Drosophila melanogaster: one gene and its partners. Changing the gene in region 4 together with the main gene of any one other region gives a genetic interaction. Each region holds a gene or a part of one and is shown on either strand. Other genes may lie near its edges. The genes, in order: eyg, Csk, Delta and upd1.

What was found.
Region 1: of upd1 (region 4) and eyg, changing one suppresses a phenotype caused by changing the other (phenotypic suppression), as found in Drosophila melanogaster (one study listed by BioGRID).
Region 2: of upd1 (region 4) and Csk, changing one enhances a phenotype caused by changing the other (phenotypic enhancement), as found in Drosophila melanogaster (one study listed by BioGRID).
Region 3: of upd1 (region 4) and Delta, changing one suppresses a phenotype caused by changing the other (phenotypic suppression), as found in Drosophila melanogaster (2 studies listed by BioGRID).

The regions. Positions count from the first base shown.
Region 1 is NT_037436.4:12,461,537-12,471,142, forward strand, and holds eyg (eyegone), read right to left. Parts: upstream 6,486-9,606; 5' UTR 6,083-6,485; coding exon 5,950-6,082; intron 4,629-5,949; coding exon 4,308-4,628; intron 3,628-4,307; coding exon 3,487-3,627; intron 3,362-3,486; coding exon 2,778-3,361; intron 2,567-2,777; coding exon 1,733-2,566; 3' UTR 1,001-1,732; downstream 1-1,000. Other genes in the region: CG32102 (uncharacterized protein), read right to left, coding at 7,621-7,887.
Region 2 is NT_033777.3:11,643,311-11,649,532, forward strand, and holds the start of Csk (C-terminal Src kinase), read right to left. Parts: upstream 3,667-6,222; 5' UTR 3,536-3,666; coding exon of another isoform or gene 3,478-3,535; 5' UTR 3,406-3,477; intron 1-3,405.
Region 3 is NT_033777.3:19,322,178-19,328,763, reverse strand, and holds the start of Delta (delta), read left to right. Parts: upstream 1-2,546; 5' UTR 2,547-3,225; coding exon 3,226-3,282; intron 3,283-6,586. UniProt on the Drosophila melanogaster protein: Acts as a ligand for Notch (N) receptor. Essential for proper differentiation of ectoderm. Delta is required for the correct separation of neural and epidermal cell lineages.
Region 4 is NC_004354.4:18,303,175-18,310,994, reverse strand, and holds upd1 (unpaired 1), read left to right. Parts: upstream 1-1,703; 5' UTR 1,704-2,186; intron 2,187-2,735; exon of another isoform or gene 2,736-3,258; 5' UTR 3,259-3,395; coding exon 3,396-3,752; intron 3,753-3,827; coding exon 3,828-3,977; intron 3,978-4,166; coding exon 4,167-4,901; 3' UTR 4,902-5,641; downstream 5,642-7,820.

The DNA of each region.
Region 1 (9,606 bases), on a different chromosome or scaffold from region 4:
TCAATAGAAGGTGATTTAAATTTATTAAAGGAATGCTCACGAGCAGAGCTCCGCACTAAATTAGAATAAGTCGATTGGTGGTATGGCGATGGAGATGGGGCTGGGCCATTTGCTCATAAAAGCCCAAGCAAATTGAATTTGTGGACACCCGATGACCATTCCCGAGCCCAAAATTCTCAAATCCCCCAATACCCCCTAGTCCACAACTTCCAATCCCGATCCCGATTCCGTTCGGAGCTGTAAGTATCGACACGAATGGTGCTCCACGCTCTTTCGCTTATCAGATGCGAGGAGCTCATTTAAATCTCGGCCAGGCCAGAAATAAAGACGCGCATCCACCCGGTTAACCAACCTACAAAAGTCAACGATCCAAACCGATCCCATTCCAACCGATCGGATCGGATCCAATCCAAGCCTGCAAGCTCGCCTTTTGTTAACACCATAATTTACATTGATTTATGTGCTTAGTTGGTTCGGCATTTTTAATCGGTCCCCATACGATACCATATGATACCAAACCATACCATCCATTCTCATCTCCTCGTCGCGTTTAGTCTGTCCCCACTGTGTTTGTGCGCGCGGCTTCATTTGGTTATAATTAAAATGTCGATGTTATCAGCCAGATTTGGACATATTGGCCATTACGTTCGAAATTTAAGCGTTTTCTATGCGCGTATTTTGGATTTGGATTTTTTTTTTTTTTTTTTTTTTTTTTGATTTCGATTTCGTTTGGCTTTTTGTTCTGTCTTCGTTCGGTGTATTAATATTTAATAACGTTTTAAGAAGCTTTCGAGTGTTGTTAAATGCTTATTTATGCTTTTCGGCCGTGTTTGGTGTGTTTGTTTGTTGCCCAGTGTGTTTGAATGGATAATTATGCGTGAAATCGAACGTATAAATTGTATTTGTTGTCAAACCAAAGCGAGTCTATACAAACCGATTTCCTGGTCATATATTTCTGTTTGTTTATTGCCGAAAGAAAGTAAACGATTCTTCATTATTTCTTGCACTTTTTATTGGTTTCTCACTCAGCGGTTGACCATTTTAGTTTTTTTCTTTTATTTGAGCCAAAAACACTTAGTCTACGCACTAAATATCAGTTCAAACGCAACCAACTCAAGAATCAAATCCTTAAACAATACGCATTCATAAATAGATTTGGCTTAGGACTATTTTAAAGTTTAAAGTTACATATAGTTAGATATTGCATATGCTATAGCCTTAAATGGTGATGAGGTAAGTCGGCAGCCGGCGAATGAACAAGTATTATAGTATAATTATGCATAACTATAGGGTATACAATGGGCATGTGCATTTCAAGTGGGACAAGCGTGTTCGTATCGGGTATTAGTTACAATTTCAGCTAATCTTAAGCCGCCCATTATGTTGTTGCTGCTGCTTTCTGCTACATTTTTCTGTTTACTTTTTTCTATTTTTATTTAGTTTTTTTTTTCTTTTTTCTAGCGACCCCGAACCGCAGCCAAGTAGGTGAGCAGCATTTTAACTTTGGTTTTTCGATTTGTTTGCCCACTGTGTGTGTAGTCGCTTCTCGTATTTCAGTCCACCAGTTGCAATTTCAAATGCAATTGCAATTGCATCAGTAGTTGCTGTTGCTTTTGCTGCTTTTGTTTTTGTTGCCACTGTCAATCACAGAGGCGCGCACAACTCAGGTTTTCAATTAGACTTTGCCGCCGCCCATCTAGACCAGGTGGCCCTTGTCGCCCATGTCGCCCATCTAGCGGTCATGCTTTAGGAATTGCAACGTGGCCGGCGCATCGGAGGATGACAGGCGAGCCACCTTTGCCGCCGTTGCCGCCGACGACTCAATTTCACCATCGGAATCGTCGTGCACGTTGATCTCCTCATCCGAGTCCGATGACGAGTTGTCCACCGTCATGGTTGAGCCGCCAGATTGAGTGGTGTTGGTATTGGGTCCCGTGCCCTCACCACCGCTCCCCAAACCACCTGCGGAGTAGTGCAATCTGGAGCGCTGCTCCTCGGCGACCGTTAATGATGCAGCCACGGCATATTGCCTGGCCAATCCCAGGAAGGCAGCCGCCGAGGGCGAGCTCACCAGACTCCTGAAGGCACTACGCTCCCCGCCCATGGAGAGGTGATTCGCCGCCGGATTGCATCCACTGGGTGAGAGTTGCTGTTGTTGTTGATGATGTTGCTGCTGCTGCTGCTGATGCTGCTGCTGTTGTTGCTGTTGCTGCTGCTGGTGGTAGTGGCTGAGCAGCTGGAGGGCAGCTGGATGCGTGGGTAGGTGCAGAGGATGATGGTGATGGTGGCCGCCCGGAGGACCATGCAGTGGGTGTAACAGCACCGAAGGTGGCGGACCCTGTGGCGAGTGGTCACCGCACAGGGGCAACGGCTGCTGAGGTGGCGGCACGGGAGCCACTGGAGCGGAGGTGGAGGCACTGCTGTGGTTACTGGGCGTGGGCGAACTGGCCGGTGCATCGTTCGACTGCTGCGAGTGCAGCGGATTGGCGGGACTGGAGCGCTGACGCTTCAGGAGATTCATGCGTTGGTGGCGACGCCATTTAGCCCGGCGATTGGAGAACCACACCTGGAAAGGGTAGAAATAAATGATATTTAATAAAGATTAGTTATTTGAGGTTTTGGTTAATTGGCTTTGAAAGAGGTAACTCTAATTTCTGATATAAAAGTATTGATTTACTCATTAATTTAAATCAAATGGTATGTAACTACTTTACTAGCCACTTTTAATCTTGCTTTTTGAAAGTTTTGAGTGAAGCCTTTGTTTTCACCTGACTCACCTGAACTCTTGCCTCGCTCAAGCTGGTGCGACTGGACAACCGCTCCCTGGTGCTCACACAAGGATAATGACTCTTGTCGAACTCCTTCTCCAGCTCCTCCAACTGCTCCGGACTGAAGGTGGTCCGATTCCGCCTGAACTTGGGCTCATCATCGTCATCCAGATAATCGGAGTCTATGTGCCGGTTCTCATCCGCTGATTCCAAGGTATCATGGCTGCCAGAGCCAGGGGAGATGGCCCGATTGGTTGGTGTGCCACCTGCTCCGCCGGCCATCAAGTGCGCCGAACTGAGGGAGCCACAAGTGGAGACGGGCACAGCGCTCGCTGCACTCGGAGGCAGATTGGCGAGCGTGGGAGCGGCAACGGACCACAGGGCGGATGGAGGTGGCGGTGGTGGTACCCCCTGGCCGCCGGGCACATTGCCGGCCGGATGCCAGGTGAAGCTACCGTACGGATGAGGGGGTGGCGGGTACAGGCCATAGGCGGCGGTGCGAGCAAACTCGGTGGCCACCCGCTCGGCGGCTCGATTGCGCAGGATGCGATTGATGCTGCTCACCGATGGAGCGGTGGCATTAGTGCAGACACCTGCAAGGCGGGATTACGCAATTACCGAGCAGTCGAAGATCGAGATCAAAAGCTAAAAGCGACCGCCGATCAATCAGCGTTCAATCTGCGTCCGCGGATTAGCTGCAATTATGTGGAACACTCACCCTCCGAAATCAGGCGTTCTCGTATCTCCCAGGCGAAGATCGTTGGATTCTCGCGCTTGTACTGTTCGATCTTGGAGACGACCGTCGGCGTGGCCACCTTGGGCTTTGAGCCACCAATTAAGCCCGGTGGTCGCAGCGAGCCTGCAAGAATCAGAGCACAATTCCAGTTAAATTATGAGACAATGGATTTATGACTTTGCCAGCCTGGTTTTGGCAATCCATCTGTTTTTGGCTGGCAGCAAGGATTAACCCTGGTTGCTAATATCTTTATCTGCTCGTTTCATCAACATGTGATGTATGGAAAATATGAATGGGAAAACAATACAAGCCTTGGCAAATACACTGGTAGAAACCAGAGCAGCTCAAGAATTGGAAAACTTAAAAATGAGTGATTTTAACTACTTAAAGTTACTGTAATGACGGGTTTAAAAGACTTAAAAAATTCTAAACATGGAATAAATGTGATCACATATCCTTATTTGGAATTAAGCATTTTTTTCTTTCAGTGCACGGCAGCACGCACCAACCAACACTACCACCAAGGAATACCCGCTCGTGAATAAGCCGCATTTTGATTAATGAGCCAGCCGCGTTTTGGCCACCGCCAGTCAGGAGTTTATGCAATTTTAAGTGGCCAAATTACACGGCTGCGCACACGAGGGATACGCCACGCAGGGGATGGTAGGGGCAACTCGCAGGATAATAACATGTTTATCATAAAAATTAGCAAACAAATCGAAAACAAAGTACCCATTAGTTATCTGATGAGGGAAGGAACTGAGAAACTGAGCGGTCGTCCCTTTCAAGGGCTCACAACTCACCTAGCAACTTGGAGACAGCTCCCTGCTGGGTTAGCATGTGCTGGGCAATGTCATAGCCACGCAGTCCACCGAAACGTGAGAATTCCAGGAGGCGATGCTGTGACATCAGGGTGTTCAATGTGCTCCCCGTGGGTCCACCTGCACCGTGCGGAATGCCGCCAGTGGAGCCGCCGCCGCCAAAGCCGGGTGGTATTTGCACAGATGTGGGTGATGTGGATGTGGCCCCTCCGCCACCGGCTACCGCTCCCGATCCCGCTCCGGCCGCCGCTGCTGCCGCTGCCGCTGCTGCTGCTGCTGCTGCTGCCACGGATGCCGCCGCTACTGCAATTGAATGATAATTGGGTATTGTTATTTTATTGTGGCTTTAGCTGTCGCGGCCACAATGGTTAATTATGATAAATTAAGCGTTAATTGTGTTGACCGAACCGAAATGACTGATGGGTCCTACGAATATATTAGCGTTTCTATTACCCCAGCAAATGTCTAAGCTGATCGAATGGCCAAAATGGTGGCGACACGCAATCGAATCTTCCAGGCACGAGCAGATTTATCAAGCTAATTGATACGACAATGATCTCTTAGTACAAAAGGCGAAAATTAAAATATGTACTCAGCTGGATACGAAAAGAAAGCAAAAAACAAGTAGAAAAACAACTGTGTATTACGTTAATTCGACAGAATATTATATTTGCCTTCGCTTAAAAAACCTACATATATCATTCGGCTTGGGCAACTCGTCGCTCAAATTGTCAATTAGCGTTTTAAATGCGCGTTTCACTTTTGTTGTTTGTCAAGTAAATATTTTTAAAAAAATACGCGCACCTCCAGTCGTGCCTAACTGAATATACATATATGTAAGTATATGGGCCCATAATCAATTGTGCCGCCCATCAAATGAGAACCAGTTTTGTTTATTTCGGTCTATTTAAAGGTGAAAAGCAAGGAAATGGGACTGTCAAATGAGCCACGCAATTGGTAATGTGACATGCGTAACGATTTGTGTTTGTTTTAACTGAAGATTTAAGTTGGAATAACATAAAACATTTGTTATGAACATACTAAGTACGAACATGACAAATTTTAATCGCTTTCTTATAAATGGCCCACATTGTTTAAACTAGAAATATTATAAAGGATCACACTTATTTTATCTTCTGTTTAAGAAAATAAAAAGGCACTCAAAGTTAGTTTTACATAGACCTTTGTATGATCAATTTGATAATTTACATAATTTATCTACCATATACCATTTAAATAAAAAATTGTTTGTTTTACAGCGAAAAGTTAACACCAACTATATTCAAACTAAATGGATCTGGTTAAGAATTACACATAAACACATTTGACCCAGTTTGATACTTTATTTAATACTTTAACCGAAACACCGTTTTAACACACTAATTTAAACGATGCTTAGTTATTAGTTATACATAATTTCAATAATAGATTTTAGGTTTTATCGCGAAAGAACTAATTTGTTTAAATTAAAATTCGAACATTCCGGATTTGCTATCGAATGACATATTACACCTTTGACCCAGTTTCGGATTTATTTTTTGAAGATTTGTGTATATTTTCTTAAAATCCCCAAGCCTGGCTTTGCCGTCGGCAAGACTTCACATGGGCACTTTGGGGCACTTACCACTGGAAGCGTGAGGGGCCAGCGATGTGATGCGTTGGGGATGGGGCTCCATTTTCCAGTGCGCGGCCGAGAGGCCAGAATTAGCGACAGTAAGCGAGCCAAGGTCACGGTTTAAAGTCGGCTCAATCAACATGTCTAAGAATCGCTCTTTCCAATTCTCTTTATTATTTATTGTTATTTTATATTTGTTTATTTTATTAATTTTATTTGGGTATAACACAATCACAGTCACAAGTGTCGCACATCCAAGGCAGAGGTATCGATTATAGCGAATGCAACCGGAAACGGAAATGGAAACGCAATGCGGTCAATTGGATTCATAGCGTGCTGCTCACTCACACACTCGCATACACACGCACACAGATACACACACAGTGACAAATGCACGACAGTCGATCCCGACAGAAACAGTTAGAAAACGCTCCTGCGTATCTCTTGCTCTTATTTTTATTATAGAATTTGTTTTTATCGAATTTCTTGCGAACACTGCGCTCCGTTGAAACGTTGTTCACGCGAAAGCTGCTCTCAGCACAATGAGCGCTTGAATTTCACCTGGTCACCCGGGTCACTCCGCTCCACTCGAACAGTTTCACTCCGCTTTTGAGTGCTTTTCGAAACGCCAACCGGTTTACGAGTACCGTACTTTCATAATGGCGCCCGTTGAGGCAAACTCTTGCTCTCTCGCTCTTCTGCGCGAGAGCGGGACAACCACATGCACACTATGCGCGCACACAAATCAAACAATTATAAACTCGTTGTTGGTAAAGTGCTGAGTATAAACAGTGGCAAGAAGAAGAAGAAGAAGCAGACGAATGAAGAGCAGTGAGTGTGAGAGAGAGCGAACGCTTTGGGGAAGTGACAAGAAGAAGAACCAGAATAAGAAGAGAAAGAGGAGTTGGGGAACCCTTTAATTTTAACTACAAATGTAGTTGGGATACCATAGCACGTTTGAAGTCAACCTTTAGGTGCATTTCTCGCCTAATGTAATATTCTAATTGATTGAATTAACCGTACAGCTTAAATTGTACCATTTAGGAACATTTAGTTCGTAATCTTTACTGTTGAGTAATGCATTCAATTTATCGTTACTTTAAGCCAGAGACCATGGCCCCAATAAGTAGGCACTTTCAAATACCAACTCTTGATTATCATATCGATCTGTGTACAAATGAGCTACATTTACAAAAGTTCATGCATATGTATAATCTCTAACAATTAAGGCTAAAGACTGAAAAGAAGTTTGGCTTTTTGCTTACACTTCTAAAATAAATAATAATAATAAAATATTTTATTTCGAAATTATTAAAATAGCTGTAATATTGTATCAATAAAATGGCAGTATGGTATGTTTGTTTTACTTTTTATTTGATTCTACTCAGGAGAAAGACAAAAAAATATATATAAATAATTGGTAAATAATACCTCAGCAAAATATAAACATTAGCATTATAATAAAACAGAAAAGCATTAAATTGCTTCCTTTTTGTGGACTTCATAACTACTATTCCGCTTTTAAACTGACCAATTGCAATTAAAACTCGATTTTTAAACATAAACTTATTAAAAGAAGATTTAAGCCTGAAAGTCCTTTTTAAACAAACTAAATCGTTTATTGCATTGAAAGATAACATAAAATGATCGCTAAATAACAATAACTAAAATGCCTGCAATTTAAAAGAGCTTAGTAGCATATAGCCATTTGAAAGGAATTTTAATCCGGTCAAATGTGCAGTGAAGTGGCCAAATTGCATCCATTGCGATCCAGAGTGAACCTTGGACACGTATAAATCGCATGCGTGGCATGGGCCGTTTGCCATTCAGGTTTGCACTGCCCGTTTTGGGTCGTTGTCTCCCGGCCTTTGGTGCGTGATGGATGATTGATGTGCTGCCTGGGCAAGGCAATCCGATGTGAATCGAAACTGCAACTAAACTACACATGGCGTGATCGGGGAGCCACACAGATCACAGCTCGCAGCTCGCAACTCTCAGAACAGAACGGGGCAGAAACGGGCTACACCAAGTGGCAGAGTGGCCTGCACAGAAGCCAAATTGCATCAAAGCCCACGGATTGAGTGGCTCCCGGCGATGCAGGATTCGAATTGGAAGCTGAAAGATGAAAGCTGAAAGCTGAGAGTCGAGTTAAAAAGCAATTACCTGAAATGATTCCCCAATGGAATGAGATGGGATGAGATCAGTTGGGATGGGATGGGATCGGGTGGAAAGAGGAGCGAGTGCAGAAATCTGGATGCGAAACGATATGGTTCAGCAGAATCACCTGGCGATAATGAGATGTCTCACTAAGCTGATCAGAACTGCCTTTGTATTTATTTGTCTGTTCGAATGCAAAGTGCACAATGCACCGAACACTCGTGCATATATGTTTCTTCGATTTGTGAAAGGCGAATCATGAATGAAACGCTGCTGACGATGACGTTCGAGTGCCCTCATGCCAGAGATCCAGAGCAAACGCAAACAATCGAACAGGAATAATTTACTAAGTAAATAATATCTGGATACCGATCGCTGCACGGTAAGAAATTGCGTAAACCGGTGACCCATATTGCTCAGCAACCAAAGAAACCTTTCAGCACTGAGATATTTTTCATTCCATTGTTTTCTGGGATAATTTAAAGTAACAGAATTATCTTCTTACAACATTTTTTTGTCTTAACTTGACAGTAAGAGTTCTTAATTAAAGTCTGAAATTTTTAAAAATATTTTTTACGATTTTTTTTTACTAGTTTACTCAAGATCTATAGCAATATTTAAAGAGTTGAATCAATGGTCTCTATGGAATAGTGTTATATATGGTATATACATATTTCGTAACCATTTGATCCCAATTTTGGCCAGTGTAATCCCCGCGAGTAGCGTGCGCCCTCGCCCCATCAAGTGGCACTTCAACAATCAAGCATTCACACAAGCAGATGGTCCGCAGCCGTTGGCGACCACCTAAATGAAATTTCATTTAGTTTTTTTTCGCCCGTCATCGCCGCCGCAATCGCAACCCGCTCCTCGAGATCTCCCCATCCATCGCAGTCCATCCAATCCATCCGTCCAGCGCAGAGTTCCAGCCCCAATCCCAATCCCAATTCCAATCCCAATACGGTCTCCTATTTGCTTATGCACACATTATCAACGTACGCCCGCCTTATGGAGTGTTTGTTTACCTAATTCGATTACCGATCGCGTCCGTTCGCGCCATAGTCCACCGGCCACTTGACCATTTGGGTGGCACGGATCCGTACTCATGGGGTCCGCTCTTCGGCCAGACGTCGTGCGTAATCGCCCCACGGCAGCTGATGCAGTGCAGCGGAATTGGGAGATGGAGATGGAGATTATGTTGCTGCTGGAGCCGGGGGCCTTAATTGAAGAACCTGCCACGGGGGTACATACATACATACTTTCATCGCTTTGCAGTCGCGGAGGTAAATTAAGTCTTAATATCCTAAGTCGAGTGTCTAAAGATTAGGAAAATAAACACTCAAGGACTTTATCGATTCGTAAAGAAAAATCAAAAGTAAACTGCAATTACATTTCAATAATAAACAACCCTATATCAAAGAGTCTTCTTTAAATTACTGCTTGTCAATTTCTTAAAATTAATAAATAAATCTATTCAATCATGTTCTAATTGATAAAAGTAAAGTGTGCCTA
Region 2 (6,222 bases), on a different chromosome or scaffold from region 4:
CCATTGTGGGTGCCCAGTAGCAGATAGTACAAACATAAAAATTCGCCATTTCAGCCTGTTGTAGAACTGAAATCGAGGCTAATGCCCAGTCCGTAGTGGACAAAGCCGGGCAAATTGTTTTCGTTTCTAATAATACTAATTAAGGTTCTGTAAGCGCTTCGATTTGCCATCGGCCAGCATGTGGATACGTCGATTCTCCATCCACAATGGACAACTGGGCGGAATCGATAGAAAAGACCAGGGCAGATAATTGTTAGCAAAAAAAAAGCGCAAATGGAAAATTTCTAAAGAGAAAATTCAAGCTAAAAAAAACAAAGAGGAATGGAATAAAAGCCCGGCCTGGATGGAAAAGGTTGAAAACTAGATGATGAAAAAAAAACCGAGCTACGTACAGAAATTGACTTCATTGCGAGGAATAACTAAATAATAATAACAACTCTTTGCCATCTATATGTTTGTTTTTTTTTGTACTGGCTTTTGGCTAGCTTTTTCCTCAGCAAGTCAATTCGCCACATTAACGGTTTGTCAGCGGCTCACTGAAATAGTCGACAATGGCTTGGAGTGCTCCACAAACAGCGAAAAATGCTGGTTGGGCCAAATGCTGGTTCGGCATTCCATGTTGGCTTATTTCTCTGGGTTGGGAAAACACGAACCAGCCGCCTGAATTGAATTGGAATTCACTGGAGAGCTCTGGCTACATATTGTGCAAATAATTTGGGCGTGGGAACCTCGCAGTCGACGTCGACTGCGCAGTGAGCTAAGCAAAACTATTGTCTATCCCCTAAAGACAGGTGACAAATGTTGGGAAAGTTGGCGGGGAAAAGAGATATTTCTGCACTGATATTGCCATTTAGTTTGTAAGCAGCAGGATTCAATTATTTGCCCATCTTATGGATATACAAAGGGGCAGAAGGGAAGAGGATATCAGTTGGCTTTAAGTTTAATCTTTATCATAGAATTCCCAAATATTTGCCAACATTCACTGCATCTTCACTTTCTTGAACTTTCCTAGGTAAATGTCAACTTACAATTAACTATTCAAATGAGCCAGAATTGGGCACGTGGAAAGTGATTGCTTATCATGACCCACAAAGGAACGGTGGCGGCCAAATGAAATTCTCCGCACGATGGAGTGTTTCTATTTTTCGGAGTGGGAAAAGCGTTCGGTCGCCCAAAGAAGCGCACCGCACAAGAAAGACAACGCAACTAATTAAATAAAACAATAACAGAATTATGTATGACACAACGAGTTTGTGTCGCCGCTGACGAAATGCAAAATGAAAAGCCAACGCCACAAAGTCGAATCAAAATAAAGGCCAAAAAAGTCTAAACCGTTGACTGAGACTGAGACAAAGTGGGCAATAAGCGAGGAGAAAAGCCAAAATAAAACAGAAGAGCTAAAGACAATGGGTCGGGTTTTTGAACCTGGTCGAGATGCGTAAGTTTGCTGGTCCGGATATCCTCGAAATGAGCGTTGGGGATTTTGGAGCTGCGTTTCGAATAGGTTTTATTAAAACCTTGCGGCAATACCTGTTGCATACATAATTTTGGCAAGCGGAGAGTGAAAGTTTCTCGAATGAATACCCTCCTCTTTTCACCAAAACGGCAGCTCTGACTTGGAGCAAAAAAAACAAATGATCGGCAATTTAACTTGAGACAAAGAGCATTTAGCATTCGCTATTGTTTCTGACCATTCCGGCCAGTGGCTTAATTAATAAATTAATTTGTACAATTACTTTAACGTGCCTGGCACGCATTACAAGAAAACGAAAGAGTCCAAAGCCGAGAAATGAAATGCGCCATTGGCTTTCGAGTGTTAAGTGTGGTCTTTGGGGGGCTTTGGAGGGTTTGGGGGCACATCTTCGGCCAGTTTGGGGGTTAAGCTCGTCTTCACTTGTGTGCAGTGAATGGCAAATTGAATAAGTGGATGGAAAACACATAACCGAAGTGTACGGGGAGCCAAGAAAAATATGAGAAATTGTTTCACGCGTCTGCTGCAGTTGTATTTGAAGTCTTTTTTTCTCTATTTCTACATATATATTTCTTTTTTTGTCCACTTTCACTTGGTCCAGCCAGCTTGGAGATACAAATTTCAGTGCGAGATTCATGCAGGACGACGGATTAGTTTCTCAGCTCAGAGAGCGTTGGAAAAAACTAGTTACAGTTTAAGGCTCCGGTTTTGCTTTTTTCTTCGTTTTTTTTTTTTTTCTTTAGTTTTTTGTTGGCCGATTAGACCGGCGATGACTAATGCGCTGGAAAATTGAAAATGCCCCGACACGCCAGCCTACAATGTTTTCGAATTTGCAGTCTTTATTTTTTTCCAGTTTTTATTTTGTCAAAGTCGAGTGTCTGCACGTCGCCAAATCCAAAATTAGCGTGCAAATCGATTGTGCAGAGGGTCTTTTAGGCCGAGTGATTCATGCAATTTCGAGATCAGCTGCGCTCGATCCGCCGCAGTTGCATCTGCGATCTGCGATTTGGGATCGGATTAAAAAGTGCAGTTAGAGAGCGAGCAGAATGGCAGAATAAGCGAAGAAATTGCAGTAATGGGAACTTGTCGACTGGGGGAATTCAATCCACGGAGACCTGAGAAAACAATTAGCACTCTGTGATTGAAGTTGGCCCGAAGCAAACAAAAAAAAAAAAAAAAAAAAAAAAAAAAGTGGTAATCGGTGAGGGGAGGGAAGTGTACAGTACAGTAACATGCTGCCAAGGCACTTTCATTCGAGACTTTCAAACAATCAAATATGCAGCCGCGACGCGATCGTCTTCATTAGTTGCACACGAAAAAATTACATGGTTTGGCGAAGAGCTTGAATTTGAATGATTTTAGAAAGGTGATCAGATCAATTAAAGGCCACCTTGTGCAAAAATCATTGGGCAACCAAAACAGCCCTTTATTAATTTAAAATTAATTAATTCGGCATTCGATATGGGGTCTTGTGAAAATCCTAATCAGATTTAAACTAATTGTAGCAGTCTAACTACATAATTAATTGAAAGCTAAGCCTGACTTTGACCAGTAAGCCCTAAAATCAACTTCAGTTTTGACCGTGCATGCCTTGAGCAATTTTGAATTAATCATGGACACACTCGAAACACAGATTCATACTAATGTCCGATACATGTGGCCAAAACCCATAATTAAGCGAACATCCCCAACATGGCAAATAAAATCAAACAACAAACACACAAAGGTCATTGCGCCACCAAATCTCGAGTATATACGTATGTTCAAGCCATGCTGATCTTTCAGCGCTTTTTGTTTCACTTTCTTCGCACTTTGATAATGTTTTGCATTAATCACTTCCTTGAGGCGAAGCCGAAAAATAGCTCCCGCCTGTATAATTAATTATTAAATTATTACAATAGCGATATGAACAATTCGCATTCGCGCGGTATTACATCACGATAGTTCGCCTTTTGTGCCTTTTCGCTGAACGGATCGGATTATCAAAAAAAGGCCACTTTGCATACCGTCATAATTTATTGTTATTATGTATTGCAAAAAGCCAATTGCAATCGATTCACTCATTGGCCAATTCGCACACACGCGATGATGAGCTGCGCATGCGTGGCAAGCGATTTTATTTTTATTTTTTCTTTTACTATTCTCTCTATTTACTATTCGATTTTTGAATCGAAACGCGACCGCGCGCCTTGCCTGCAAGTTTTCAACTGAAAAGCGATGCACGAAGTTGCCGCCGCGACTGAGTCACGATAAATAAAACCAAAAACACAAAATGAAACGAAAGAAAAAAAAACACAAAATCAACCTCCGAGTTTCAGTTTCAGAGAAAGAGAGCGCCGCTTGCGAAGCTCAGTCTCAGATTTTCTTCGTGTTTTTGTGAGCCGGCTTCTTCTCTTTATCGTGCATTTATTGCATGCGATAAGACCAGTCGCTCGCATGCGATCGCCCACCTGTTGCACATTTGGCCACCGACTGACGGTTCTCCTTTTCGCAGCGTCGCGCTATGGAAGTCAAATCGAAACATGTGTTGCCCAACTCATTAGGCCGATTTTGGCCATTCAAGTAGCTGCTGCGGTCTCGCTTTTGGCCTAGCTAAAAGTAACCCACTCTGCGGTCGCCTATATTTACACGGGAAAACTTAATTAAAAGAAATTTAGTTTATTTAATCGCATTATTAGCGATCCCAAGTAAAAACTAAAGAAAAATTGTAAGACTTACATATATAATTTATTATATTATATATATCAAATTGTACTTTCTACATAAGCCTAACATATTTATACCTTAAATTCATTAAAATCATTACGCACAGTGCACTTTGTGATATCGGAGATTCAAGAGGCAAAACGATCACAGCTTTGTAAAAACACACATCCAGCAACATTGGAGGCTTGTGACTCGGATCGATTTCCTTTCTGTTTCGTTTATTTGGTCTAATTGCCGCCGCTGGCCATGTTAATTAATTCCCCCATTATTGGTCGCACAAACCCCGTGCCCCCCGCCACACTCCTTTTCCCAACGACTTGTATGGCAAATAGTTTTTCTCTTGCATGTTTACTTTTCGTCTCCGTTTCCAGGCAATTTGTTGCCGCTCTCGAATCAGTTGTTTGCAAAAATGTAGACATCAAAATGTTTATTGTTTCTTTCGCATCCAGCGCTTGCAGTTCCAATTGCAGTTGCAGTTGCACAGTTCGTGATTTTCTCCGATTTTTCTCTTTTACATTTCTTGCATATTTGCGGAGCAATTAGCATCAAGTCGGAACCGTGCTCATGCACCAGCTCTCCCAGCGAATTTGCCTGGCGAACCCGAATGGCAAGTAGATCAAAAGGCGAGGGATTTGTGCTAAAAATACCCGCAAAAGCAACATAAACAAACAAACAGATGGCAAGGAAAAAATAACCTTTAATATGCGAAGAAAATGTGTCCGCTGGGCAACAAAACGAGGAAAGTAATAATTTCAAGAATGCGAAACATATGAATGTATCTACATATATCAACGGTTCCAGATAAACATAAAGTACACATTTCTGCACCGCGTTCCCAGATAAACGTAAATGCATATTCCAGCTGTTTGATGATAAGATTAAATGGTCGATAGCCTTTTTTTAATACGATAAAGTCAACGTAAACAAATTGTTGAACGGTGCATGGATTTAGGCTTTCTTCAGGGAAATGTATTTTTTCGTACGGTTTAAATTGGATCAGATGTTTTGGCAGTTGTTCAATAAGTCAAAATTATATGTATATTAGACAGCCACAATGGAATGCATATAGAAAGGCATTCACGTAATTATTTTAGACATCGCTAAATATGACTAATATATAATTTGAACTGAATATATATCTCTATCTCTATCACCTGCCCAGCCCTAGAAGTAATGGCGTATGACCAATCGGAATAAATAAAATTGCAAATTCCAATTAGCATTCCAATCAGTCCCGAGTACAGTGGTCATGCAACGGCGTAATTAGCGCAAGTGAAAATGGGCAGAGATAGATAGTCGTAATAGGCGCAATAAAGGGAATATTGAACAGTGGGCGCCAAAAGTTAGTACATCATCATTCCAATGCGAAAAGTTCACGCAACACTGACCTCACACAGCCAAACTTGCTCACTCACACCGATACAGTTGGAGTATAACGCCCACGCATGTTGCAATACACAAACAAACGGGATACATAGAACCCCGGAGAGAGAGAGAGAGAGAGAGAGAGAGAGGGAGAAGGGGGGGATGACAGTGGGTAGTGGGGGGAGCTTTGTGGCGCCTAGGTGTGACGTCAGCGACCGAAAATTTTTGCCGACGACGCAGAAACTGACCGAAAGACAGCAACAACAAAAGGCATTACTATGAACGGAAACCCGTAACAAAAACTACGATGCGCCACGCTTCGGTTATTGCCTTTAATTACTACTGTGGCTATCGGTTTTGTTGTACGCATCGCTTCGGTCATTCATGGCCCGATTGTTGGCTATATCTATATATGAGCATTTCTGTATATAACTTCGTGTGTGCGTGTGCGTGTGCCTGTGCATGTGTTTGTTATTCAAAAAATAAAAATAAAAAACGAACACAACAACAATGAATTTCGCGCCGCAAAGTTGTAAAACGTGTTTTTGTTTTCGCTTTGATTGGAACGAACCAAAATGCGTAGTATTTGTGATTTTTTTTATTACGATATTTTCGGATTTTGCTTTCGTTTTGAAGCCAACTAGTTGACCTCAGACAACAGCATCAAAATACAAACATAA
Region 3 (6,586 bases), on a different chromosome or scaffold from region 4:
CCTTAAGGGGCTTCGGGGGGTTAAACGGCGCGCTCCGGCGATCGAGAGGCTGCCGTTTGACTTTGCCCCACAGCCTGCAGGTTTTTCTTCTCACTGCTCCTTTTCATTTTTTTCACTTCGCCGTTGCCGTTGTTTGATCATAAATTTGTGTTTAATTTAAAAACTTTTCACTCTTCTCATGGCTTGAAAACTCCCGGTGCGAGTACTTTACTGTCAAATTTATTGCGCGAAATATATGTTTGTTTAAATATTGCCATTACAGTTGGACATCTTTATAGTGAATTGGCTTTGAAGATTAAAGTAATGTCTGCAAAATAAACTACACGAATTTAGAAATAAGAGAGTAAGCTGTAGTTTCTAAAAAGATAATACTTAAACATAGTAACACTTTAAATATTTACTTATTTTTAATAAAAGTCAATGATAAAATACATATAAATACATATTATAAAACTATTATTAAAATATGCCAAACTAAAATTATTATTTTAAAATTAATACTTGTTTCTTTTTTCAAATAATGAAGGAATTGCATATATTTTCTGATCACTTTTAAAGAAACTTCACTGTAAAAGGAATCGCGGCGGGAACTTTATAGTCGGACAGGAGAAATTCGGGGTCTTGGTCCGCATTTCCTTGTAAAATTGGGTGTTGACTTGATTGGTTTCGTTTTCTGGGGTCTCCTGTCTGGTCTCCTCCTGGTCTCATGCATATGCAAATGTCCCTCGTTCGATGCAAATTAATGAAGACCGATTTTTATTGTACAAATTTCAACAACTTTATTTCGCGTGAAGAGAGTTCTGGCCATGTTATTCTCAGCCCTTTGCCTTGCTGACCCATTTATCAGACCATTTCAATGAACTGCTGTTTTCGAGTGATTTACAATGTTTGATCAAAAAATCGAATCAAATTAATCTTGCTCTTTTCGTTAAGTAATTGGATCAATTTTTAACGAAAGTTTGGATCCAGAGACCACCGAAGAATCTAATGATTTGTTAGGAATAATAATAAAATAAATAGGTGTACAGACTTAGCATTTTTACCTTAAGATTTTTACAGAATAGAATGGAAGTACAAATTGGAAAATCAGGCCAGCTATTTAAAATTGTAAAGCCAAAATGAAATCGTAGTAGGCGAACACATCATATTCAATCTATTTTCATAAAAATATTTAGTTTAGCTCGATTCGGCATCGTCGGCAGTCCTATATCAACTAGAAAATATTTGGATTCAAAAAAAAAATTTTATTTTTATTTTTTTTAATATTCGTTGAAAATAAATGCAAGTATTAAAAATTATTACTATTACACAAAATGCTTAGAACAAAATTTATTGATTTTGAAATATTGTTTGGTTATATAGTTATTTATCGTTTATTTCAATAGAGATTCTAGTTCATTTGGTTATTGTGGAGCAAACATATGCAACGCAGTGAAGATGTTATCACAAGATGGTATTTCCGAGCCAATGGATCTTTGAGGCAGAGGCTTGTAAATATTTGTACATTCTGATCATATTTAATGAGATTCCAAACCTTTAGCTAGATGGTATCTTCAGCAATTTCCACCGAGCAGCTTGGACAATTAATATGTAGTTTATGGATCCTCTTTCAATGAATTTAGTATGCCCAAACTCGAAGGAGTTTCACCTCCATAAGAGCGACAGTCCTGGAGAAGTTATCAGAGCCAAAAAAATTCATATGATGATGCATTTTCCGTCTCTGAAAACGTCTTCAGCAGAAGTTGTTTTTAGCGAAGTGAAACTCATTCGATTTTGATCATACTAACGACATTGGATGCTTGGATCGGCAGTTTGGTGGAATATAAATACCAAGACCCTAAGACTGATGACGTACCTGCTAATGAAGATGATGGAGATATACTTGCATGCCAATTCAATAAGTTATAAGCACCCAATATAATAAAATTCAAATATTTATATTAAATACAAATATCCATCTTTAATTTTATTTTTGGTTCTCATCTTGGCAACAATAAATGTTGCTAAGCATTTTGCTTTCAACTTTCGCGTGAGCTGAATCGGTAAATTGAGCGAACCGGGAATCAAATGTTGCTAACGAAATGCTTACAAGCCGGTATCCAACTGGTATCTGAAACTGCTAGCAAAACGGGGAATCAAATGTTGCTAACGTAAACGAATTGAATTGATTTGTTTTATTTTAGATATAAAAATAAAAGTAGAATATCTAGAAATAAAAAATCCGAATTTTGAAGATTATTTAGAGACAATCTTGGAAATTTGTACAAATAAACACCCGTCCGGTTGAAGTTAAACAATATAATAAATTCTTATATCAAAATAAACTTGGTAATGTATATTGAAATTTTAAATAGTTTTTAAAATGTGTAAGTTGACTATTTATTCAAAACGGTTTGTTGCATTGCATCTGCTGAAATGCACTAATTTTGCCACGGAACTCGTTTTGAGAGCGAAAGAGAGAAATGAGAGAGCGAGTACGTTTCGTGGTATTTTTTAGTACGATTCGCGGCGGTGAAGGTGAATAGTGTTTTGGTCGTGGACATGAACGGCATTACGTTTTTCAACTCGGCCGCGCGAATAACTCGAAAAAGGCAGCTCCGCAGCCAAGGCATTTTGAAAAACACAAGTCCCCGACTCGAAACGCGACCAAATATTCGGTGTGTGACGCGAACTGCCAATGCAATAGTTCACTTAAGAATTGCAGATTACCGCGACTCTGGGCAGTTCTCATTCGATATTTGAATGTACCAAAAGAAAAGTGCCAGAACCAGAAATCAAAATAAAAGATCTTCTAACAGAATAACAAGAAGTGTTTCCTCCGAAAGATTAAAAAATCGCGAATGATTAAGAATCGCGGCACCGTTAGTTCCCTCTCTCGCTTTTCCCTTTTGCGCTTTTCTGCGTGAAAAGGAGAAGACTCCGCAGTTCGCGAAAAGAGCTTTTATTTCGCGACACTTAAAAATAAACACAGTCGAGGAAATTGCAACAAAAAATGTGGCGCGTGCACGTGTAGCTTGCAACAACGACAACAAGAAAACAACGAAAATGCTAAAAGCGAATTGCAAAACCATGTGCGACAAGTAACCAAAAAAAAAATTCAAAACATAAACACAATAAACAATTTGAGTAGTTGCCGCACACACACACACACACACACAGCCCGTGGATTATTACACTAAAAGCGACACTCAATCCAAAAAATCAGCAACAAAAACATCAATAAACATGCATTGGATTAAATGTTTATTAACAGCATTCATTTGCTTCACAGTCATCGTGCAGGTGAGTTTCAGTCCCAGGAAAAGCGCTCATTTTCCATCCAACAAGTTGTATTTTTTGGCAATTTATTTTCTTTATTTCTACGCGCACGCGTGCACTCACCGCTGAATTTTGCAGCTGGTGTGTTGTGCGCGCATGTGTGTGTGTGGGGCCAAAAGGGAAGAAACGATTGAAGGGTTGCCAGGTTACTAAATATTTTAAAACTTTTGGGGTTCCGTATGATCATCTCAAAATATCTATTTTGAAACCACTCCAACATCGCGTTTGCTTCCAAACTTATTTTTCAAGCTGGTAACCCGAGAACTTTTGGGTAGAAACAGCTGAGTTGATATTTTAAGCGGGTTGGCTTTTAGGGGTGGAAATTGTGGATCGGATCGTATCACCCTTTTCGGAACATGCATACATATTTCATAGAGCAAAACTAGTTTGGAAACATGCGAGGCCAATGCCCAAACAGGTCCATCCCCAAAAAATGGTTTAATTCTAGTACACAGCGGAAAAATATGAGGCATACGTTAGAAGAAATACCTTCAAGATAATTTTTGACATGCAGATCAGTTCAACTTCTTAGAAATCCTACTATGTGTACTAATTGTTCTCCGTGTAAAAACAGAGATGATCCAAGTCTGCCTCAACGTCAAAATTTACCACCAACGGCGTATGCATCCAGAGCAGCAGCAAAAAATGATAAAACTGCTCGATTTCAATATGAGGCTATATAGTAATGCTGTGCTACAAGCCCATGCTAAAAAGTTGATGATGCTGGGCAACATCTGCCGTTTTCGCCGTCATCTCCTCCTCTGTCCCTCCGCTTTGCATGCGCTTTTTACATGCGATTTTTTTCGGTTTACTTTTCGCTCTGCGTAGGTCAACGCGACACATGCTCAGCCTCACTTGCTCTCCCCTCCTTGCGTTGTTTCTCTTCTGTCATGCTTTCATTGATCTTTAACGCCAGCATCCCCTGGTTACACGGATAAAAAAAAGAGTTGTGCAGGGTTTCCAAACAGTGCGATCTCTAGAAAATAACACTAAATATTTTGTTGTTAATGTGTGGGTTAGTTTCAAAGATAAGAAAATATTAAATTATAATAAATCTTGACCATACATAGTATGTGTACATAGTATACATTTCATAGTTCAGAACTATTTAGCTACGAAGAAATTACAACTTAGATCCACAATATTAAGCTGATAGGGAGCTCTTTATTGATAATAGTACCCATTTACTCACCGTGCACCCTGCATGTGCTCCAATCCTCTACCGCTCTCCGCACTTCTTGATTTTCTCCCAACTTTGGCACGTTGCGTGCTTAAACTTCACTCTTCGACCAGCTTCTTTTTGCAGTCTGCTATTTAGTCGCTAATTTTAACAACGTCCCAAAAAAGTGTCTCGACGCCAACCTCCTGGGGTCTTGGGACTGCTGAAAATGCTCCCCGTATGTAGGCAGAAACATCTGCCCAATAATTCTGACTCATTTCCTTACTTACTTACAGGGAAAGGTGGAATAGTTTAATTTGTCATTTAAAATAATATCTCGGGCAATTAGCTTGCCATTAGCAATGCAATTTAATTCAATTTTCTGCCCATTCTATAAGGTATTATTCTCACAATTTCTTGGCCCTTTCTTGTCCCATGCTGCGTTTAAATTTCAATTTAACTATCAAATAACCGTAGTCGCCTTGTTTTCGCATTTATGCAATTTTCATATTAACATTGAGCGTCGAAGAAGTGAGTGAGTGAGCGAGTGAGTGAATGAATGAATGAATGAATGAAGACTGGGACTCGTGGGGGAGCACTCGTAGTCTTCTCGGCTCTGCTCTTTCTTCGCATAACATAATTAATTGCAATTTAGAAGCCAAAGAGGAAGACGACGACTACTCCCACACAATGCGATGGATGATTCACTTGCGCTTGTAACTGTTTCCCAAGCCCGTTGTTAACGGTTGATTATGATGATGAATTTAAATGATTAATAAACAACATGCAGGGTAGGGGCACCAAAGCAAACACCTGTAGGAAAGTCGAGGAAAAGTCGGGGAAAATTATAATAAAAATGCGTGCTTTCATACATTTTTATGTCCCCTTGTGTTGTTTTAACTTCTTCCCTGCTTTTTTTTCTACAACAACTGTCTGTCAGTCAAGGCAAGTTGACGTGGAAATGGCAAAAAATGAAAAGAAACGAAGAACTAACTAACTAGTCGCTTCAAGCCTCAGTGATCGCAGTAAAAATAGGAGTAGTGGCCAGTAAAGAGAAAGAAAACGAGAAACGGAGACAAAGAATGGCTCAAGCAAAAGGTAAACAATGCAACGCACTATTTTCTAACACTTTAACAAGTGTCTGTCTTCCATTTGAGAGGTTGGCAGCTCCAGCTTTCAAGTTCCACCTGGCGAAACCCCCTCGTAGATCCCCCCCACAAGTTTTACCTTTCGGTTATTCAGCCGCTGTGGAGTTCATAGTTGAAGGCAAAGGCAAACAAAAAGCGGAAGGAGAACCATTACCAGTGTACATATGCCAAAGTTATGAGGCGGATTGTGCAAGGTGTAACTGAGCATTCAACATTTTGGAATTACGATAAAAACAGTCGGAAAAGTTAGATCAAAGAGAAATATATTATATATTTTACGTTATTAGAACGAAAGTTATGTTTTTTAAATGCTAATTCATCATATTATCTACTACTTGTCCCTTTAAGAGCTTGCTAATACTAACCGCATACTTGGAGGGACTTTAAAACAGTGTGAGAAACTATAACCAAAATTGGTGTCAAATGGTGGACAAAACTATTGTGGTTTTAACGATTGCACTTTTTGTTTTGTTTTGCTTGTGCTTCCCACCATCTTTAGAGTGTGTGTGAATGTTTGTTTGGTGTTATGCAAATTGATTTGCTTGTTGTTTTGTCTTGCTTTTTTTGTGTTGTATATGTTGTGTCAACTTCTGCGCCTTTGTTTGTGTGTGCGCTTTTCGTTTGTCCCATTTTGTTGTTTATAGTCTAGTTTAGTTTGGCTTTCCACTGGACACGCCCCCCTGCCCGCCGCCTCCCACCTTTCTAACCTTCCTTCCACTCAATGGTTTTTCTCCCTCTTTCTCTTTCCCTTTTTTATTGTATTTCTTTTATTAATTCAGACGCATCGTTTGGCTTGATTGTCTATTAATTCATTTTGCCTGCTTCTTATTCTGTGCTTTTTTGCGCATATTTATGCTCCTCTTCAAAGCGCCGTTGAAAACAAGTTTTTGCTCTGGGAGAGCCTCGCTCTCGTGCTCTCTCTCTCTCTTTGGAGCAGCTGGCAGCTGCAGCTTGTAAGCTT
Region 4 (7,820 bases):
GCTCCGGGTGCGAATTGCCCTTTTTGTGCCTTGCCGCCCGTTTCCCAAAGGAGAGGTCGCACAAAAGGTGTGCGCTGCCACCTTGATATATGTGATATATGCGAGCGAGTCCCTCTCTGTGGGTTGTGGGTCCTGCGAGATTCGAGTCCTGTGCGTCCGTCCTGCCTTGCGGCGAAATAAAGGCGAGTGGCCCCGCTGCGCAACACAACTGCTTCCTGCAGCAGTTGCTGCACGCTGCACTTACGGTTAGACGCAAGGACACACCGTCCGCTGTCCGTTTCGGCCCGCTATCTGACCATCTACAGCTGTTTTCGGCTGCCCAAAACAATGCGGCCATAATGCAGCAAAACTCTCAATTTAATTAGACCGTCAATTGTGCAAGCCCTCGAAAGTAGGGAGAAATATGGGCATATTTGACATAGGGATGTCCTAGGTAGATGGGCGTCCGGGGGTTCGCCAGTTGGGAGTACCTGGCCCACTGGCCAGAGATTTCACACTCTTCTTCTAGTTACCCACCCAAAGCGGAATTGCGACAATATCAAGCCGAACTCATCGAGATGGTCAAATATCAGCGCTGCGATTATCAAAATAAATAATTTGAGGTGAGTTATAAATGTATCAAAAAATGATGAAACAACTTAATGTTTTACGATTTTTATGTAAATCTTTATTAATTAATTACCCATACGAACAGATTTAGGCATATATATGTATATTATTAACTTCATTTAAACAACTTGAATCATGTCAAATGAATTTGAATGGTATATACATATATAATAGATTGTGAGTGCCAAAATCACTACTTCAGTTATATTGATTGTGGTTCGAACACGTATAAATAATATTACTATAAAAATGTATATATTATGTATTATTATATATATTACTACTGGTATTGAGAAGAATTGTAACTGCACAATTGGTTGATTCCTTAGTGCTTTATCCTATTTTACGCTTTATTCCTTATAATTACTAAATTAATTTTAATATACAAAATATATAGCAATTTACTAGTTGTTAGAAAAAGTTGAAGAAAATGTAATATTGGTTAACGTTCCTCGTGGATAGTTCTCGAATGGATAGTTTACCTGGATTAGCGAGCTGAATAGCGGTGTTATGTTGGTCATTTCCGTTGATCACTTTCTAGACCGATTTGAATGTCAGGACTTTTTGGGAGGGGTGAGCAGGCCGCTCAAGGTCACCCAGAGAGTTTGAGAGAGGGAGAGAGAGAGAGGACCTAGCTGACCGGGCTTAGAAGAGTGAGACAGAGCCAGGTAGGCCTGGTCTTTTGGGGCACCAGGTAGGCTGCCTCTCTTCTTTTCCCGCTCTTTGAGTGAGTGACGCGGATTGGGCAAGTGGGAAAATTCCAGTTGCAATGGCGACCGGCCCAAGATCGCCCTGGTCCGCAGGAGCGAGCGGGATGGCGCGCGAGGACAGCCGGTTGGCAGGCTCAAAGACGGCACCAATACACACTTCGGCCAGGTAGGCGCATACGCACACACGTGCAGGTGACCTGGGAATAGGATACCCCGAATACGATCGGTGAGAGCGGGCGCGGGAGCGGGACAGCCTGCGGTTCTTCGGATCTGAATCTGATCGGTCCGAATCGGCGGTCTTCTTCTGGCTCGGACCATGGCGTACCGCTCGTCGGCACTCGGCGGGCAGCGACGCCGGCAGAGGCCGCTCAGCTCGCCTCAGTTCCCATTTCAGTTTCGGTTTCGGCCTTTTGGCGCTGCTCATCGGTCGGTCGGTTGGTCGGTGGTCGGTCGGTATCGCTCTGGTATTCTGGTATCTGGTATCCGCAGCCTCTCAGCGAAGAAAGCTGGTCAAATCCAGCGCGACTTTGGGCTCAGTTCGGTTTCACACTCGAACGCGAGCAGAAGTGTCCGCGAATCAGTCTCCAAAGCATCGAAATCACCAAATCAGAACACAAACTGAAGCACGGATTTGAACTCGATCTGTGGTCAAGTGGTCTCACAAATATTATATATAAATACATTTTTTTGCGAGTGTTGTGCTGCAAGTGTGTCCATTGAAAACCGCCGGAAAATCAACGAACAACGAATCTCGAACGATCATCGAACATTTGGATTAACGTACAGACTTTTGGGAGCTCAGGCGCAGCACAAACCACGGGGATCCCGCGAGGATCCTGAACGATTCCATTTTTCATCTATAATGCGGTGTGTGTATTATTTTTAATTTGATCAAGACTTAAGAGCAGGCACAATTGGAGAGTGGAGAAGCGATCGAAAAGGATATTTTGGTCAATATCAATTCTCCACTCTTCAAGTGACTTATCAACAAGAAACGACCAACGATCTACTGTTAAGCAAAAAGGACATTCTGTGACAGCAACTGCAATTTTGGGAATTAGGATTAAATTATATAGTTTAATTAATTCGCTCTGCATTAAAATGCAAATCCATTCAGGATATTGTTACTTGTGCGAATCCTTTCCGTTCGTTTTTAGCAGCAAACGATCTTCAGTCTCGAATTTTAATCCTGTCAGATAAAGTAGCTAACTTGAATGGAGAATTTGAAATGTTCAAATTTTAGAATTAGCCCCAAATCCAAAATTCAACCTCAAAAGTTTCCATACACTTTCACACACTGGAAGTTAAAGCCAAGCCAAGCCAGAAGGCAGAGATTTGTCGCCTGGAGAAGATTAGATCCTCGAAACTTGGATCGATACGTCTTCGTTATTCGCTCAGGCTACTCTCGAGTTAATTGTCTAAATTAAAAAGTTTCCCCGCCCTCAATATACACACATATCGCTCTGGAAAAGACAAAAAAAAAAAAACAACGAAAAGCAAAAAAAACCGCAAAACAAACATAGAGAAAATGTTAAAAAAATCGAACCAAATTGTTGAGACTGTTGTCTGGTTGCAGTTGCATTCGCATTGAAGGAGGCTCGGCCGATCATCCGACCCGTAATCCCGATCACCTCAGAGCTCCAGCATCGAAGCACCCGACCACCCAATCCCACCCAGTAACCCATCCACTCCCAAGGGAGTCCAGTTAGTTAACCATCTAGTCAGGGAGGAACAGTGATAGCAGTTGATCGTTGGTCGTCGCGCGTTGTAGCAGAAAATTGAATTTACTTTTGCATTCTCGATACTCATAGTGTTTTTTCTCCACATCTCTTCCCTTCTGACCCCCCATCCCCACCCTTCACATATATCCTATATATATATATTGTAACCCCGTTCGCTGTATCTGCACACTGATTTCGATACGGACCGCGGACAGTAGTTGGTTGGCAGTGCGCTGCGACCACAGCTAAAAACAGCACCACGGCAGCCGGCAACGGAAACGGAAACATCAGCGGAAGCGGTAGCGGTAGCGGTAACGGATTCCGGCGCAGAAGAGAAAGTGGCTACCATGCGGCGATGGCTCGTCCGCTGCTCCTGCTCCTGCCCATCCTACTCGTCCTGCTCCTTGCCGCCCAGTTGCCCCACCTCGCCGAGGGGCGCAGCACCACCAGCAGCGGCGGTCTAACGGTTATCGATAGCGAGCGCCTGCGCATTCGCACCACCTCCAGTACGGCTTCAGCTCAGCATCCCAATCAGGGCACGATCCCTGCCAGCGCCGCTAGTCCGCGCAAGCGCCACAGAAAGCGGAACAGCAACTGGATCGACTATCGCAACTTCGACGAGAACACCACCGCCCTGGAGTGGGCCAATCCCTGCGGTGGCAACTATCATCCCTCGGCGGGTGATCGCTTCAATCGCCAGCGTCCCAGGCAGGTGAGTTCAAACGGCAGCGCTCTTTGGACCCGATCCATATGTAATCCGCTCCCCATTTTATCTGCTTCTCCACAGAGCTTCAATCAGCTGAAGCGCCACGCCTTTCGGGAGTACCGCAGCCTAAACAGTAGCCAGGACTCGGCCATAGATATCCGCAACATGACCATGTGGTCCCTCCACACGCACAACTACAAGTTCCTGCCCAAGCTCAAGCCCAATTCCACGGTAAGCAATCCTACAGTCATACTTTTTATCTATTAACTTAGTTGTCAAAACTAGTTACTAAATCCATCTCGTTATCAACTTTGTATCTATGTATCTTGAAAATAGCTCAATTATCTCGTTATCAACTTTGTATCTATGTATCTTGAAAATAGCTCACAATTGTCTCCATCTTTTTGATTTCTTCCACAGATTGCCCTAAAGCGCTGGTACCGCAACATGCAAACTTACGTGGCCAGCTTTGCGTATCTGAGGCGCCAGCAGATCCGCTGGGATCAGCGGTCCATCACCCGCGAGTCCAGCACCGCCCGCGAGCTGCGCGAGCTGCTCCTGAGCTCGCGGCGCATCCTCTGCGAGCTGGAGACAGCCGTCAACCAGACGCAGAGTCCGCGCCAGAAGCAGCGGCGCAGTGGTGCGGCGGTCACAGCAGTTGGCGGCACCACCATGCTGGGTCAGCAGCTGCCACAGATCTCGCGTCTCGAGATGAACAAGCGTTTGAAGCTGCGCTCCAAGACGAGTGGGCCCGGTATGGGTGGTGCTGCTTCCAGTGCATCCATGGCGGCGGGCGAGGCGGACTCGATCGATATGCGCTTTGTGAAGCACCACTACTACGACTTTTTGCGCACCATGTACCAGCTGCTGCGGCGGGATGGCAAGCGGGTAAGGAGTCGGCCACGGAAGCACCACAAGAAGCAGCAGAGGAGCCAGAAAAAGTTGCTACAGCAGCAGCAGCAGCTGGCGGATCAACTGGAGCAGCGTTGGCGCAGCTCCACCTTGAATGGCAAGGAGTTCAACGAGGTATCCAAGCCAGTGGCCGGTGGTGCTGCTGGAGTTGCAGATGTTGCAGGTGTTTCCGGTGGTGGAAGCAACCAATTTGCACGTGGCAGACGTGGAAAGCGCCAGTCGAAGCGCGTGCAGCGCACGTGAAATAGCATACACAACATTCCCATATCTTTCCATTTCCCCTTACCTCAGGACTCGCCCCTTTCCTCTGTTCTACAAACCCCTAGCCTCAAATCCTTAATTTAACCGTTAATTGATCGATAGTAGCTTAAGTAAATTATTTGATTGACAGCACATAGTCTCTGTTCTCGAATTCATTGCAAGTATTACCACATTCCGTATTTATTGACATTCGTCGAGAGTGAGAGAGAGGGAGAGAGAGAGAAATAGAGAGAGAGATATAGTTATATAGCATACGAAACCACAATCTGCAGTTGCCGTTCTAGTCACATAAGAGCAACCGCCAACCACCACCCACTGGAAAGTATTATTCGCCACGCCCGCTTTGTAGCCCATTCCGCACCCGCATCGAGTACTATGTGACCCCCAGTAGGCTAAGCTAACCCATGGCATTCATGATCATAATTCCATATCCATATCCTTTAGGCTAAACTTTGATCCTAAGGCACACACACACACATTTTTTTTTTTTCGTAGGCTAGCTTGTGTTTCGACATCTGTGATATAGTGCTTGACTAGTTCGTATTTAACCTAATTGTACATATATATTATATATAGATCGCATTGGGGTGGCATGTGGCCGCATCCATGCCTTCGTAGTCCTAAGCTCGCCCTTAGAAATCGATTTTCGTATTTATAGAACCGACCGACATATGACTAAGCCAGCAGCGGAATAAAGCGAACAATAAACTGAATTGAATTTGAAAATAAATCTGGATTGCATTTCATTTTTGGGAATAAATGGTATACATATATCCATTTGGATATACTTAAATTTATGATGGAAAAGAACTTCGTACTTCCCATTTTGAGGTTCAACGTTTTTATCTTATATTTCAAAATTGAAATACCCGAATATCGAATTCAATTCTATATATTTTTATATCTTTTACCATCAAAAACCTATCAACCAACCTATCTTATGTGGCCAACACTTTCGCGTACATTGAATCCCTATACCTGGGGGAGTCAATTACTCCAATTCCCTTGACCCACTTTCTGCGGATTCGCTTTCTGCTGCGCCTTGGATGCGTCTTTATGGCTCCTCCATGGGTCATGGGTTTTATGATCTCCAGCGGCGTCAAACTATTAGCACGTCAGGCTCCCAGTTCCCCTCGATACCGAAACCGATCCCGATCCCGATTCCGATTCCGATCCCCACCTGCTTGTCTACCTGTGCCCAGAAACCCAGAGGAAATGAATGGACTGTGATCAATGGAACCACTCAATGAAAGTTCGCGCCAAGTGCATCAGAACTACATATACTCGTAAAGCTGATCACCATCATCATCGGTGGCATTAGCTCTTGCGGGAATGCTAAGGTGCCGGGATCAGGGGGCAGATGAGCTGACGCTTATCCCCGGGGTTAACTAAAACACGGCTACACTTGTCCTGGTCACCGATTTGCATTGCAGTCTGGAATCGAGAAATCCCCGCTTTGTTTTAAGCGGATTTAGGCAAATTTACTTTTTAATGCCTTGGCTTATTGCCAAGCTCCGTTTAGGGCGCTTAGTGGCAACTTATGGCCAAGTCCACTCGGATTATTAGCGCTCAGCGAACGGAAGCAGACTGCCGTCTACCTTGCGAGTCCTTAAGTGTCCTGGCCAAACAGAGGGAGAAAGGGCAGAGGGAAGGGCAAAACGGAGATGTTGACATGCAAATGGATTAGCACGAGACGCTGAGCAAAAACATTTCTGCATGCATTATAATGCCGCCTAAGCCGTTTATTGATTGCAATCGATCGAAGGAAGTCCAGACTTTAAGCCGCTCCAGGGTTATGGTTTTTATGTTCGGTTTTGGTTTTGGTTTTGGGTACGGGTTCGGATTCGGATTCGGGTCTCTTGACCATAGTCCAGTGTCAAGTGTCCCCTTTTTGGCCTGAGCCCTTTTGGGTAAGTAGGTGTTGTTATGTTTTTAGCTGTCATAAATATTGTAAAACTCGGTAAATATTTAAACAGCGTGCACAATAAAGGCAAATGCCAAGAGGCTCGACGTCGACGGGCATACCAGTATTTCGGTATTTCAGTTTTCAGTTTTCGGATTTCGGATTCCGTTCGGGGCATTGTTTTTGGCCTGGTCATAACGGCCCGGCCGCACCGCCCGACTCTACCTACTACCTGCTCCTTCCTCCTTCCTCCCGGTGAAATTTGAATATGTGCCTGGCCGTGGACGCAGGGGTGCGGTGGACAGAAAAAAAAAAGAAAGAAAAAGATTAACAACATTTAATAACCCATCATTGCGCCGTCCCGCTCCCACGCATTGTGTCGACAATTTTGCAAGATAACTGCATTTGTGCAGTCCTTTGTGCCGGGCCACTTTTTGCCATTGTCCTGCCATTTTGCGCTCCTCTTTTTCCTTTCTTCGCCAACTCACAAATTCCCAATCTCTTTTTGTGTTTTTTATTGTCCTGCGGCACCTTCCAGGAATCCCATACCGTGCAGCGGCCTTCGCCTCGCCAAACTGCGTCCTATACCGCACGAACAGGATGTATCTGTATCTATTTGGTCCCATGTCCTGTTTGCCACTCAATTTGTGCACCCAAAGGCACAATCGCACGGCAGACAAGTGGCAACTCAATTAGGCCATCAACGCAATTATATTGCAATTTATTGGTACGATCAATCCAGTCAACGCGATATGAATATCCCAACATTTCCAGATGATGGATCGATCGGTCACCATGGAATGCGATTCTCGAACTATTGCTGGATTTTAGAAACCTATGCTCCATGTAATATCTATGTGAAGAAAAGGAATGTTTTTTTTTTTGTTAATAAATAAATACACTTATTATTACAATGACATAATAGTATTCCCATATATATACTGAGTTTTCATACAAATACCCTTTGCTTGTAAACAATAAATCGATTAAGCACAGTT